Astyanax mexicanus: one gene and its partner. Each later gene encodes a partner of the first gene's protein in a complex. Links are inferred from orthologs where the notes say so. Each region holds a gene or a part of one and is shown in the gene's direction. Other genes may lie near its edges.

Region 1 (8,086 bases):
TTCACAGTAGCACTATATAGAACACACCCTTTCATAGGTTAAACACACAGAAATAGTCCCCATATGACTGTTCTCGGCCTGGGGTGATTCTAGAATCAGTGGTTTAGGGGTCCAGTCCATCAAACCCTCAACTTAAAAAGCTCCACCTCTCCCCTTAAAAAAATTTGTGGCCTGTAAATGAAGTTCAGTTCACAGGAGAGTTCAGAGGAGGGGTGAGTGTGTCTTATTAAAAGAAATAAGATCATTTTTACCTTAAATATCATTTTAAAATATTTTTATCAAACAATCCTGGCACAATTGCATTCTCCATTATCTCGTCTAATGAAGTTGCATCATTTATTTTCACTTTATTCTCTTAGCTATCTAAAAAAAGGGCATGGACAACTCATCCTGGAGGTACCAAAAGAACCCAGAACAACATTTAAAGAGCTGCAGGTCTCACTTGCCTCAGTTAAGATCAGTATTAATGATGACCAAAAATAACACAATGGCCCATCTCACATTTACCAAAAAACATCTTGATGATCTCCAGGACTTTGGGTAAATATTCTTTGGACTGAAGAGACAAAAGTGGAGCTTTTTGAAAGGTGTGTGCCATTACATCTGCTGTAAAACCAGAAAAAGTACTGAAAAATTGTAAGTAAAAGTACCTTTACTTTGCTAAAATTTTACTCAAGTAAAAGTAAAAGTACCCATCTAAAAATCTACTCGAGTAAAAGTAAAAAGTACTTAATTTAAAATGTACTTTGAGTAAAAGTTACATAGTTACTTTTAATTATTTGATGCAAAAAAGTAAAAACAAATCATAAATTAAATTGTTTTTAATGAACTATTATTTCACATAATAATTTGGATCTTTCAGGCAGTATTTGTTTAGACCACCCCATAAAACATTTTCAAGAACAAGTGGCCCAGGTTTCTATGATCCATTTTTTTCTTTACTATTAAAAAGTTATGGTAATATAGGAGACTATAAACTGTTATTTTATAGTTTTACAGTTCATTGTTATTTTTTAACTTGCCATTGATATGCTTTAACTGCTATTTACATTTTTTTTAACATTCAAGCAGATTATTTAATGATAAAAATAATTACCACTACATGCTTTCACAGGTTTGATGTGGAAGTTTTGAAAGCTGAACAGCTCTGTCCGGTGGGGCACATTTTGCATTGCATGAGGACGTTATTGCCTCGTTATTCCACGCGCGAGCATCTGTGTTCTATCTATTTTTTTTTAATTCAGACAATTGTTTTTTTTCCTCAGCATTTTATTTTTTACTCAGTAATTGTGAGTTTTCCAGTGTAGCAAAGTAAATTACTTGTGTCAAAATGTAGTTGAGTAAAAGTAAAATTACCTATTTTAAAAACTACTTTAAAAATTACAAATTACTCATAAAATCTACTCAATTACAGTAACTTGAGTAAATGTAATTCATTACTTTCCACCTCTATGTAAAACCAACACATAATGTCAGAAAATAGAACATCATACTGAATGTAAAACATGGTGGTGGTAGTGTGATGGGCCTGGACAGCTTGCCAAAATAGTTGGAACCAGGAATTCTACTGTTTACCAGAAAATCCTGAAAGAGAAGGTCCGGCCATCTGTTTGTGACCTCAAGCTCAGGTGTACTTGGGTTCTGCAGCAGGACAATGATCCAAAGCACACAAACAAGTCCATCTCTGAATGGCTTTAAAAAACAAAAACTAAATAAAGGTTTTGGAGTGTCCTAGTCAAAGTCATGATCTTAAACAGGTGGTTTATGCTGGAAAATCCTCCAATGTGTCTGAATTAAAACAATTCTGTAAAGAAAAGTGGAGCAAAATTTATCTGTAAAGCTTGATTGCAGTGATTGATGAGTGACACAAACAAGTTATAGGTTTAGGGAGCAAATACTTTTTTATACAGCGCTAGATTGGTTGGGATAGTGTTTCTTTCCTATAATAAGCACCGTATACTATATATATATATATATATATATATACAGTATTGAAGAGTATCATACATAACAGGAATAGTCAATACTCAATCACTGATTCCTACATTGGTGCTATAAATAGAGCACTGTTATAAGGAACACTAACAGTTCCCTAATCACTGATCCTTATTTTGACCCACTATAATGTAGCTGTTCCTGTTCCTTTTATTGGATCAGTTCACTGTTCCCTACTTTTGAACACTATATTGATTAGGATTAGTCCTATAAAGAATTCCTTAATGTTATACATTTCAATCATTTTCTCACATTTGCTACAAACTGACGATCCTCTGACCATCATTGCTCCTCAAAGACTAAATCATGGTTATAATCACCTGTTCACATCACCTGTTTGAAATCGCATCATTATTTAGTTAATTTTTGACCTTATTACTAACCAAAGGCAAATAGCCAAATGTGATTATAGTTTACAAAGTATGCAATGCAATTACCGTCATGTACACTCAACTAATCACTGATTATTTGCATTTATTAATCAAACGTAACTGATGAATCGTGACAGCTGTAGTTTAGTGCTCTGTAGAACACTTGTGAATGATGCTTTACTAATGATTGACAATTATGTCATCGTTTGCATTCCGTTATAATGTAGGATCATTATGGGTATTTTGAGCGCGGCGAAGTCGGAGAATTAGCGGGCGACGCCCGGAGGATTCATCACAACACATTAGACGTTACAACAACATGTAAATCACCAGTTTAGGATGAAAGAGAAGATGGCGCGTGACACCCGGGCGATAAATAACATCATCTGCCGGAGTTTTTAATGAATAATTCACCAGAGTCTTCTGTCACTGTTAAACTTTAATGAAGACAGACATCAGCCTAATCCATATTTACACTCCTCCGGGCCTCGCGATAAACCCTCACTCACTCTCTCTCTCTCTCTCACTCACTTTCTCTCCCACTGTCTCTTTCTCTCTCTTTCTCTCTCTCTCTCTCTCTCGTTCTCATCGAACCGTATCGAACTTATGGAGCAGAACAAAACATAGGCTCGCTGTTTGTCCTATTGTCTGTCCTATTTTTTTTTATTCTTTGTTTACTTTAGAGCACATAAACTATTCAAGCATAAAAAAAAGAAATTGTGGAGGTTGGCTCTCAGAAGCTGAAGGTTGGAATAAGCTGAATACCTGTGCTGTGAGATGTTTGAAGCCCGTGTTTTTATACACTCAGAAATGCCATTATACCATGAGCACACTGAGCTCGTTGTGAATGGCTCGTCATCACTCAGCCTCTTTAGAGCCGTTCTAAAGCCTGCAGCTAAATTATTCACAGTCGGTGGTAAACGCTAATCGTTATGTACGCTAGCTGCTTTCTTAAAGACTACTCTCGCTGATGAACGAGTTACCGTGGGTCGCACGAGTGCGCTACGCTCCAGTGTACGTGACACACCGAGCTAGTGTACAGTAAATGTGTTTGTATTAGTGGTGTCAGTTGGTTAAAAAATTTAATCAGGGGTGCCGAGTGGTCCAGCGGTCTAAAGCACTGCCACTGTGAGCGGGAGGTCGCAGGTTCAAATCCCCGCTCATGCAGCTTTGCCATCAAGCTGCCGGCGCTCAGAGGGAGCAAAATTGGCCCTGCTCCCTCCGGGTGGGTAGATGGCGCTCTCTCCCCACATCTCTCCTAGGGTGATGTCCGCAGCACAGGACGTCTGTGAGCTGATGTATCAGAACCGAGCCGCTGCGCTTTAATCTGAGTGCGCTATGATGCTACTCAGCAATGCTGCAGCAGCTCAAAAAGAAGCGGTTGCAGACTTCACATGTATCGGAGAAAGCATGTGTTAGTCTTCACCCTCCTGGTGTGTTGGGGCATCACTAGTGATAGAGGGAGTCCTAATGAGTGGGTTGGGTAATTGGCCGTGTAAATGGGAAAAATTAGAAACAAAATTATTTTAAAAATGTAATCAGATCAATCATAACAATACTCTGTGATTAGCTGGGTTTGCATACTGTGTCATGGGTCTCCCAACAAGACAATGACCCCAAACATACTTCAAAAAGCACCCAGAGATGTATGAAAACAAAATGCTTCTGAAGTCAGAGTTCTGGAGTGGCCAAGCAATGAGACTGGATCTAAATCTCATTGAACGCATAAAGAGAGATCCTAAACTTGCTGGTGGGAGGAGGCATCCTTGAAATATGAGAGACTTCAAGCAGTTTGCAAAAGAAGAGTGGTCCAAAATTCCTGTTTAGATGGTATAAGAAGCTTGTTGCGATTGAAGCAGTTCATTTCCGTAATTTTTTTTCCAGTGGTTTTTTGTGTGTGTTTTTGTAGTATTGTGTGAAATTGTAAACATTTGTTTTTTTTTTTGTTTTTTTTTTGTTGTTCCAGTACAGTACAGTTTCTTCTTTAACTATGTAAAAACGTGTAAAACATCAAGATTTTCCATAAAAAAAGAGAAAAACATAATTTACGAGAAATAAAAATGAAGAAATAGGCAAGAACTGATCTATTGTTTGGCTTGGGGTCAAAGGTCAGGGTTGAGGGCAGCAGCATTTAGACAGTCATACAGAAACAACTGACAAAGATATGAATACACACCAGTGTGTGTGTGTGTGTGTGTGTGTGTAGTGGATATGGGAGGTGGGAGGTGGAGGGGGGGGGGGGCTGTTTCTTTGGGCTTTGTGTCATTGGTTTAGCAGAGCCAAGACCCCGCCTTGATAAAGAAAGGAAGAAGAGTGGAGAGAGAGAGAGAGAGAGAGAGAGAGAGAGAGAGAGAGAGAGAGAGACCAAAAAAAAAACACCACCCCTCTCCAACACTCTCCAACACTGCTACACTGTTTCCCTTCGGCTCGCGCGGCACGAAAACACGCGCGCATCGCCGTTTTCTCGTGATTTTCTTCGCTACAGATTTTCTTCGCCGCGCGCGCCCGCGGCCTCAGACTGGATACAAAGTATCGCGTTAAAGAAGCGAAAGAGGACAGTATCCCCCTCTCCAAAAAGAAGACTACTGTCCTCCTTCTGCCGAGCTGGGATGCTATCCCTGGACGCCTAAAAACATTAGGAGAAACTCCTTCACCGTAACTCGCGCTGACCGCTCTTCACGTTGAGGTACGCTCGCTGTTTCTGTGTTTTCGGATGCGTTTTTGAGGTCGGATATGTGACTGTTTGTGTTTTATTTAGCGTGTTTGGATTTGACCATGTGTTTACGGAGCTGAAGTTGGCTTCTGATTTTGGAATTCCTCCGTTCCACCTTAAATAGGGCAGCATTTCCATTCTGACTCCTTAAGCGCCAAAATGGAACTGCCGCACTGTTTAAGGTGGAACGGAAGAATTCCAAAATCAATTCCAACTTCATGTTTTCGCCTTTTTTGCCATACGAATCTTAACTTAACGGTAATTAGTAGAGGTGTGGACGCGTTACTGTGTTTATTTCGCTTTGACTATGGTCTTAAACCCCATTTTTATGTTTCATTCATCAAAAAAAGGTGGCGTGTACCATTATTTCTGAGGCAATGTTGATTTTCTCAATGTTGCAGAACCAACATATACCCATATATGGCTAGTAATGAATGATATATATAAAATGCTTGTGTGTATATATTATATTGTATTATTATATTATTATTGTATTATTAATATATATATAATATTATATTATATTGTATTATATTATATTTTGTATATATTTATATAATATAATATAGCTTTGAAAAAATTGATCACAAGCCATCAAACCAAGCTGAACTGCTTGAATTTTTGCAACAGCAGTGGCATAAAGTTATCCAAAAGCAGTGTGTAAGACTGGTGGAGGAGAGCATGCTGCCAAGATGCATGAAAACTGTGATTAAAAACCAGGGTTATTCCACCAAATATTGATTTCTAAATTTCCTAAAACTTTTAATATTAACTTGTTTTCTTTGCATTATTTGAGGACAGAAAGCTCTTCATCTTTTTTTGTTATTCTGAGCATTTCTCATTTTTTTCAATTAAATGCTCAACAATGTTTGTTTTACTCAAACATATACCTATAAATAGCAAAATCAGTAACTGAAGTGGTCCCTTCCAGAGCTGTATGTGGTCCCTTTATTTTTCCAGAGCTGTATATACAGTATGACTTATAAATATAATAATATTTATACAATTCGTCCACCTGCAAACCAAATGGTCCAAATGAATGGAGCCAAACGTGCAAAAATATCCCCCACCCCCTGAAAGTTACTTACTCAGATAAGGGGTTAAAAAAGCTTGTAATATATCTATACTGGTGTTTCGATTTATCTAACTGTAGTTTCTCCCAGATGTTAACCGTACATTTATATTTTATGGTTATATATTTTTTTAATGCTAATCTATGGCTATGACATTTACTTTTTTTTGACTATGATGACATATATACTAGTAGACATATTGCTATTTTTATGACCAATTGGTAATATCACAATTTTCATCATACTTTTTAATGCATACCAGGTTTACCATTCATCCACCTGCAAGTGCTTCAAATACCTCAAATGGGTGCAGTGTGTGCAGTAGTTACTATGTCCCATAAAACCTGTTGGTACATTTATTTTTTTCATATTTTGCTGTTTTATGCCCACCCTGAAACCAAGCAAAGAGACTAAATGGGGATTGATAGTAATAATAATAATAATAATAATAATAATAATAATAATAATAATAATAATAATAAAATAGAATCATAAGTGATCTTTTTTTATCTGGATGATATAGACATTTATTTTTCAATATATTTCTTCATTTCAGTCGATAAGTCGAAAGGCCACAGAAACTAACCAATTCATGTAATTCGCTGTAAATAATGTATATTTAAATATCAGAAATGTGTTGACATTGATTGAATGCCAACCCTAGCTTTTTTTCTTGTTATGTTGTGTTGTGGTGTAAGATACATACAAGATCACATCTCTAACAGGTATTTGTAACCTTATCTGGATCTCATTAGTAATCTATTAATTGGTAATGATGAAGAGGGATGGGTGGTTGAGGGGATGGATAGTGTGCTAATTGTTGTCCCAGTGGACCGCATGTCTAATTCTACACAGATCTTTAATCCTCACCCTGTGGTTGAGGGTCTTGTAGAGTGCCAGATCCTCTTACAGAGGGCAGGAATGTGGTTAATGTTGTTTTATCAGCTGGGTTTAATCAGTGTATATAGAGGAGTGCTAATAGAAGTGTTTTTTATGATTTGGACGTGATGCTCTTGGATATCGTGGTTCATTGTTGTAGGTTTTTTTTTTATTTGCTCTGGTTGTTAGATTTGTCAGAGGAATGGTGAGGGCTGTACATTTCTCAGAATTGCTCAAGTGTGTATACACAGTGTAGTGACATGTATTTGTATTTTGACATGTACACATAATATATACACATACATTTACAATAGATATTTATAATACATACCTAATAGGATACATTTAAGTTAAATGTATTTTTTGCACTATAAGATGCACCAGATTATAAGGCACATTATGCGCCCCTAGTAAGGAACAGGCATACCTGTCAAGTCTCCCGTTTTGGCCGGGAAACTACCGTATTTTACTCCTCTTTCCCGCCGTCCTCCCGTATTAGTATTTTACCGTAAATTTCCCGTATTATATTAAAATTAAAAAATATATATATTATTGAGGAGACAGGGAGCTGACTGCTCTGTGTCTCTTAACCAATCGTGGAACCGGTTCAAGGAGAAAGTCCCGCCTTTCAGGAGAAACAGCCAATCAGATGGCAAAGGAGGGTCAGTGTGGGGAAGCCCCCGTCGCTGTGAGTTCAGGCAGCTAGTCGGAGCTGCTGATGTTAAAACATATCTGGATATTCAGCGATTTTTCTAAAAGAAAGGTAATGGTAGGCGGCTAATCATGAAAACTGTGATAAGATTTTTCTGATAGCTGCTAAAAAACACTCGTCTCCGAAATAAAACACACAGATTAAACCTTTTAAAATAAAAAAATTACACCTTGTGACTCAGCTTAACTAGAAATGTGGAGAGGACCGAAATGAACTGAACTGATCAGGGGTGGAGTGATCAAAAGAAAGAAGTACTAACTAAAAATTATTAATTGTGTAGGCCACTTAGGACTAATTTTTACTGATGGAATATATCTGGTCCATGTCCTTTTAGTAAAAGCTC
Region 2 (7,758 bases), on another chromosome or scaffold:
TTCCGAGTGAAAATATCACATTCCTTGACTGCAGTTGTTTTTGACATGCTTCCAATTCAGTTGATATAATTAATTTGGGGTTTTCGATTAATTTTGTGCGTGTCTTTACAGAGCTTCCACGCTATGCGACCATCTTGGTTCCCAGCTCCATAGCGCCCCCTTGTATGTCACTCTTATACTGTTTTATATTTTCTGTTTTACATAATCCATCTCTCTGCTTTCCTCCGAGTCACTGACTGCCCACCTGTCTGACCCGATACCGAGGGATGCTGGACCCTCGGAATTTGAGGAATTTGCATAACTGCTTTTTATTTTGTACAGCTATGTTTCTTGTTTCCTGTTTCTGTGCCCATGAACAGGGAAGTGGAGAAAGCCGTCCTGTTGCCTTTCCTTTTCTTTCTTTTGGTTGGGACCCATGAAAATACAACTGAAACGACTTGTTGAACAGTGAATAAGCTTTGTAGTGTCAGCCAGTTTCCTGATGAACGTTATCAGCGCTAGGGAAGGTTTTCTTCCAGAAGCCACAAACAAAGCACTCCGCTGCTAAAAACGTCACCAGGCTTTCCGGAGTTCAGTTTGAACTTAAACTTCCTGAACCTGTCTTCTTAAAACCATACTTTCTTCTACATGTTCCTAGATGGATTACTAGGATGTCTGCTTTATGTCAGAATTGTTCACTCTTAAAAACAAAGGCACTTTAATTAAATCTATGTACACACTAAGAAAAATAAGAGATAAAAAAAGAAACATGAGAATTCAAAAAAGAAAAAGAACTAAAAGAGTACAAAGCTTGTCGCTGGAGCTGTACCTTATTTTGAGGTAAAAAAAAAAAGTACCTTTCATTGAAAGTCCTTTTTTGTACCCATGTTTTTTGTGCCAGTAAAGATTATACAGATTATAAACATTATCATCAACTGAACATGTGTCAAGAACTTGATGATCCAAAATTTTCTGACTTTCAAAAAAAAAAGTGCAATTAAAACATATATTGTTTATTAGTACAGTCATACAGAATACCGAATGTACATTTTTCGCTGGTTAAATGGTACAAATCTGTACTTATTGCTGTTAGGAAAGACTTTTTACCTCAGAGGGAACATCTGACCCTGTAAAGACCAATATTGTACCTTTGAGTACAGAAAAGTACTTATATCGTACATCTGTTTTTAGAGTGTATGATGCCACAACAAATCCCCTTTGGATCCCAAAAAGGACCATAACTACCATTTCTGGAGAACATTAGGTTGTTATCCACAATACATGCTTCCAGTCATTTTTGAGTGTGGTTATGGTGGACACTTATTATCCAACAATGCAATGCAAAATGGAAAGGGAGGAGCTACTCAGTGTCTTTACATAAACATCTCTTTTGCAAAAATGTTTTTATGGAACCAAAATTAGTTATCCTTTAGTCATGATGCAAAGAATAGCACCTTTATATTTAAGAATGAAAAGTAACAAAACAAATTGTGATTAAGGCAATAAAGACATTCTGTAGTAACGCTATAAAAAATGCTGTAGGAAAAATAGTAACTAAAACCACACCCTCTATTTAAAGTAAAGTGTATTCATGAATTTCAATGTGACATTTTTTTGGTGTAGGAGAAACTGGATGTGCGTGTTACTAGCATTTGCTAATGGTTGTGTCACTTGTTTTACTCTTGCCAGTGTATTTGGTTCTTTTCATGTTGAAATGTTTCTTGTATTAGTATTTTATTATATATATATATATATTTTTTTTTTTACAAAAATGTTTTTTAATGGAGCCAGAATTGATTATGCTTTGCCTATCGTGCCAGCCTGGGGCCTTTTGTGTAGCACCTTTAAACAATGAACAATTAAAATAAAAGTCTTTTTTAGGCAAGAAAGAAATCCCTGAGAAGCTGGAGAAACTGAAAAAAGCTATAAAGGAACTGATTACTAGTACTATTGGGTTTACAACATTATCAGTAGAACACATGATAAGTAAACTGGTTTTCTTCAAGTTTAAAAGGTTTTGTGTACTGATGATTGGCCCACATCACACACCTGCACTTAATATATTTAAAGGGTTTACACTTTCTACCCTAAAGGAAGCACATTTGGACCACAGCTGAATACAATACACTACAATTCGGATCACAAACGGCCACTCAGTACCTCTCGACTCCCTTTTAATGGAGGGATAAAACACAGGCTGGGGGGAGGGGAGGTGACCTAAATTAAATTCACAGTGCTGGTTCTTCTTCTTAAATACAACATCATCCAGCTTAATCTAGTCTGTTCCTGACAAGACAACATGCACTATGGGTCTACCCCCTCAATTCTTTCTCATTTTTAGGCCAGTCTTGTATTTCTTAGTGTCAGTTAACTATGCTAATTCTGCCAACATGCTCTTTAAATTCCTTGTCCCTGTCTCTAGTCTTTGCTAGAGCTTTCCTCATTTTTACTTTGCAGTCTCTTTATCTTCTCACTGCACACTCATTATATTTCTTTGTCTCTCGTCTCTCTCTCTGTCTCTACATCTTTATATATCTTTATTTTTATACAGTGTATCACATCCCTTTTTCCTTTTTCCCAGTAGGAAACAGCTGACTATCTCACCCTTAAAATAAAGACATTTGAAAACGTTTGAAGCCCTTAAATGCAATAAATCGTCTGGAAAAAATGTAATCAGCTATGGTTGCCAAACACAACTATCTTTCTTATTATTACTCCATATGTGTGTGTTTTTTGCGTGTCCATATGTGGGTGTTTGAGGGAGGGATTTACACCAGAGACCTGCAAGTCATTAAGACCATTCAGCATTTCTCCCCAGTGGAACAATAGTGCAGTAGCTGTAGGCATGGCCCCAAGCTGGCTGGTAGTGATAGGGCCTCCCCAGGGAAAAAGCCCTTACTCAATCTGCTCCTGATAGGGAGGCTTAACATAAGTCCTGATCCAGGAGTCCTCTCTGACAAAGGCCTGACATAAGCAATTATGAGACTGAGATATTTGGACAGAGTCTGAGACCAGGTCCAGCACTGTTATCATCAAAATCTCTTGCAGTTTCAAGGTTCAGAATTACTCAGGCTGTTTGCCAAAATCTAAATGAGGATGCTTTGTGAAGTGGAAATGTACTAGTCTAGGACTAAGCTTAAAGTGTATTAACATGTGAAATTCATGTTTCCAGTACTCGCGTACATGCATTTTGGTATTTGGAGTGTCTATAAATTACATACTGCAAATTAAGATATTCCAGACCATTTTGTAATTTAGAAACAATGACTGTAGAAATATATATAATAATAATATAATATGAATGCCATTGTTTTGCAGGAAGCCAAAAATATCTGCCAGGTTGTTGATTTTGCAGGCAGAATCAGAAAATTAAAGTTGATACTGATACTATTTAAGAACACTGGATATTTTTTGTTACATTACATATTTTAACGTTGATGATGAGGAACAACATGTATTTTACATTTAACAACAGGCTTCTGTTAGGGTTCAAATTCTGACATTGATTCAACATTCAGTTAAAAGCTTTGAATGGTTCGGTCTTTTTTGCACTCACAATGCGTGAAAGGTGCTCTCCACAAATAATATTAATTCTTATTATACAGTAGAAAAATTATTGATATGTCTGGGGATCTGGGGGTCCAGAAAGTAACCTGCTGTCACCTGCTGGGATAACGGCTAGTTTGCCGTCAGCAGACGGAGTCTGAGAGCAATAATTAGATATTTTAACATATGATAAATGTTCTTATTGTTACAGAGAATGTAAAAATCATTTTTAACTGAATCATATGTAGCGAAGATTAAAATAAAATAACATTATGCGTAATTGGGTGTTTAAAATCACGTTATTACATATAACAAAGGCGGTGGCTGTAGTGTTCATATCGATATCAAAAGTATGTCGCATCGACCGAGATAAAAAGTATATCGTGAAATAGATTTTGGCCATATTGTACATTTCAACACTGCAAGATCACAATACAAGCTATAAAAATAGAAAACACATACAAACATATAAAAGCTTAACTGTGAACCAATAAATAAACAACTCTGTCCTCAGAGATCAACGCTGTTTCAATTGAATTAGAGATGGAAAATTGAACGTTAATTCAATGTTAATTTGCTCTCTGGGTCCCTTTAACACCGCCCTCACCCCCCCCTTCTCTTTAGTGAGAGACAGAGAGAGCGAAGGCTGCGCGCGCAGCTCTGCTGTCACACGGCTCCATCCTTCTCCTCCTCCTCGCTGTGAGAAAGAGAGAGAGAGAGAGAGAGAGAGAGAGACGGGGGGGGGGGTCTTGACAGATCTTGCTCTGAGGAGATCTTACGGTGAAGAGACGGGGACCGGGTGAAGCTGGTGGGGCTGCGCTCGTGTGATCGACCGCCGCAGCGTCCATTCGGTTATTTTTTATCTGCGTTGTTTTCATGAGGAGAAGAAACCCCGTCACAAAGAGAAACGACGAAAAATACGATTATCATAATTTTCTAGCGGCGACTGAAGCCAACCCCCCTTTAAAAATAATGAAATAAACGCGGATACCGAGGATAATCCACAGACTGGCTCAGACGACGCCGCCGTTATTTTCTCCATTTCCCTTGTTCTCTCAGCGATTTACTGTTTCTCAGGTAAGAAGCGTCTCCCTCGTTTCTAGACTAATTTTTAGCATTTGGTATTAGTAGCTAGTATGTGTATTCCCACGCTAAGGATGAATTCGATCAAAATACAAATTGGCCAACCCCGCTTTTGTACGCTCAGTAACAGTCAATGGACCTTTACAACACTTAAAGATCAACCCACTGGTTTCCATATTGTGTCCTGAAACTAAAAAAAAAACAAAACAATTGTAATCGCATAACGCTCTAATATGTTTTGCTTATGAGGCTGTTGGCCACACATTTCCCCACTCACCCCTCGTAGATTTAAAATGAATATAATGAATCTTAAAGAGATATACTCACTGTATTATTAGTACCATATCAACGTTTTGAATCATCGCACAGTGAGGACTGGGAACAAAACCCATCAACAATGGCTTCCAAAAGCTCCAACCAAGCACGCATATATACATTTGTATCTAATAAACTGTCAGGACTTAAGCTCAACCCAAACTCAGTCAGTTTGACAGCCTAAATATGCTCTCCTAGATTTCAAAGGAATATGGTGAAGAAGCCTAAAGAAATATACTCACTGTATTAATATACTCACTGTATTATTATTCATTTATTAGTAAACCAACCATTTAGGTTAACAACACTGGTCTGTTTCCATGAATACAGGGGTAACATATTCACCGTGGTCACCCCTGTGTGTATTATCACCCTTTTAGATCCTTGCACAGTAATAACAACCCATCAGGAATGGCTTCCAAAGGGTCCAGCAGTTATTCTCAACCCAAACATAATCAATAAGACAGCCTGAATAGGCTCTGATCTAACATTAAATACAATCTGTTGGCCACACAGGTACATCTCCTTCTCTGTGTGAATATGAAAATGAACATGCAGAAGCCTGAAGAGATATATTCTCTGTACTATTATAAGCAATTTGTTCGTTAGCAAAGTACCATTCACATGAATACAGAGGACTGAGATAGAGATCTATATGATGAATGCAAGCTACCTCACATCAGTGGTTTGGATCCTTGCACAAGGCTCCAACATAACATGTATATAAAATTGTATGTAATAAATTGTCACTAATTATTCTCAACCCAAAACTAGTTAATAAGACAGCCTAAACAGGCTAATGAATATGAATAACAATCTCTGGATCTTTAAAATGCTCAACCTACTGGTTTCTATATTGTGTTTTGGAGCTAAAATCCATTAAATTTTTGTTGGACTCACAAGCAGTGTAAGGTTTTAAAAGGTATAGGATCACTGCATTACTACCATGACAAGCTATACCACCAGCGTACATAAATAGAATTGGTCTGGTTTCATGACAATAGGGGTGTACAAGAGTGTCCCAAATATAGGCTAGCTTTATAGACATATCCACCATGCTGACTTCTGTGTGTAGAGATGTGTATGATTGCAACAAGGATTAGCAATGGCTTCATAGAATGCAAATATGCACACACATAAGCTTGTACCCACAAGTTTGTACCCTTGTACTGGCAGCAGTACAAAAATATATTTCATAAAAAAATCACCAACAGGGTGGAGAATGAACAGATGAATAAATGGTTAGATGCACTAATGGGTTCTGTCATTTTCTTAAAAAGCAATATTTCCTTTTCATACTCAATAACCCAGTTGTTTTCATCTTGTGTCCTGCAGCTAAAATCCAATCTTAATATCTGTTGGCCACACAAGTGCCTCCCTCACTTAGCTCCCGTAGAACAGTCAAATATGGTTTTGGTATATACTTGCAGTACTTGCAGTCCATTAGATACAAGCTCATATGAGTGACTGGTTAAAGCCTTTGAAAACAAATTTTCAGAAAAAGCTATGAGCATTTGGGTTTACTACAACTGGTGTGACAATTGGACAGTAGTGTGTGCTAGGGGTGTGACGAGATCTCGTCAAGCTCAAACCTGTAAGTGAAAACAGTAGGTGAGCTCCGCGGTACAGTTAAAAAGCTCTGCTTGACAGTAGGTGAGCTCTGTGGTACAGTTAAAAATCTCCGCTCGACAGTAGGTGAGCTCCACGGTACAGTTAAAAAGCTCCAGTAGAGAGTATGTGAGCTCCCTGGTACAGTTAAAAAGCTCCGCTCGAAAGTACGTGAGCTCTGCGGCACAGTTAAAAAGCTCCGCTCGACAGTAGGTGATCTCTGTGGTACAGTTAAAAAGCTCCGCTCAAAAGTATGTGAGCTCTGCGGTACAGATAAAAATCTCCGCTCGACAGTAGGTGAGCTCTAGGGTACAGTTAAAAAGCTCCGCTCGACAGTAGGTGAGCTCTGTGGTACAGTTAAAAAGCTCCACTCGACATTAGGTGAGCTCTGTGGTACAGTTAAAAAGCTCTGCTCGAAAGTACGTGAGCTCTGCGGTACAGTTAAAAAGCTCCGCTCGACAGTAGGTGATCTCTGTGGTACAGTTAAAAAGCTCCGCTCGACAGTAGGTGATCTCTGTGGACTGTGGTACAGTTAAAAAGCTCCACTCAAATGTAGGTGAGCTCCGCGGTACAGTTAAAAATCTCCGCTCGAAAGTATGTGAGCTCTGCGGTACAGTTAAAAAGCTCCAGTAGAGAGTAGGTGAGCTCTGTGGTACAGTTAAAAAGCTCCAGTAGAGAGTAGGTGAGCTCTGTGGTACAGTTAAAAAGCTCCGCTCGACAGTAGGTGATCTCTGTGGTACAGTTAAAAAGCTCCGCTCGACAGTAGGTGATCTCCGCGGTACAGTTAAAAAGCTCCGCTCGAAAGTACGTGAGCTCTGCGGTACAGTTAAAAAGCTCCGCTCGAATGTAGGTGATCTCTGTGGTACAGTTAAAAAGCTCCGCTCGAATGTAGGTGAGCTCTGTGGTACAGTTAAAAAGCTCCGCTCGAATGTAGGTGATCTCTGTGGTACAGTTAAAAAGCTCCACTCGAATGTAGGTGAGCTCCGCGGTACAGTTAAAAATCTCCGCTCGAAAGTATGTGAGCTCTGTGGTACAGTTAGAAAGCTCCAGTAGAGAGTATGTGAGCTCCCTGGTACAGTTAAAAAGCTCCGCTCGAATGTAGGTGATCTCTGTGGTACAGTTAAAAAGCTCCGCTCGACAGTAGGTGATCTCTGTGGTACAGTTAAAAAGCTCCACTCTAATGTAGGTGATCTCTGTGGTACAGTTAAAAATCTCCGCTCGAAAGTA

The links. Proteins that work in one complex are often made in the same cells at the same time.
Region 2: the proteins of C-terminal-binding protein 2 (region 1) and zmp:0000001174 are in contact, whole or in part, in a crystal structure (PDB 8ATI), measured with the Homo sapiens proteins. The link is inferred for Astyanax mexicanus from reciprocal best matches to the Homo sapiens genes CTBP2 and RAI2. Residues at the interface, in NP_001077383.1 of Homo sapiens: Leu35, Arg42, Cys44, Met48, Val57, Ala58, Phe59, Cys60, Asp61, Glu67, Ile68, His69, Lys71, Val72; in NP_001166210.2 of Homo sapiens: Glu315, Ala316, Leu317, Asp318, Leu319, Ser320, Met321.

The regions. Positions count from the first base shown.
Region 1 is NC_064422.1:18,510,582-18,518,667, reverse strand, and holds the start of C-terminal-binding protein 2, read left to right. Parts: upstream 1-4,707; 5' UTR 4,708-5,052; intron 5,053-8,086. UniProt on the Homo sapiens protein: Corepressor targeting diverse transcription regulators. Functions in brown adipose tissue (BAT) differentiation. Isoform 2 probably acts as a scaffold for specialized synapses.
Region 2 is NC_064420.1:11,162,594-11,170,351, forward strand, and holds the start of zmp:0000001174 (retinoic acid-induced protein 2), read left to right. Parts: upstream 1-4,272; 5' UTR 4,273-4,602; intron 4,603-7,758.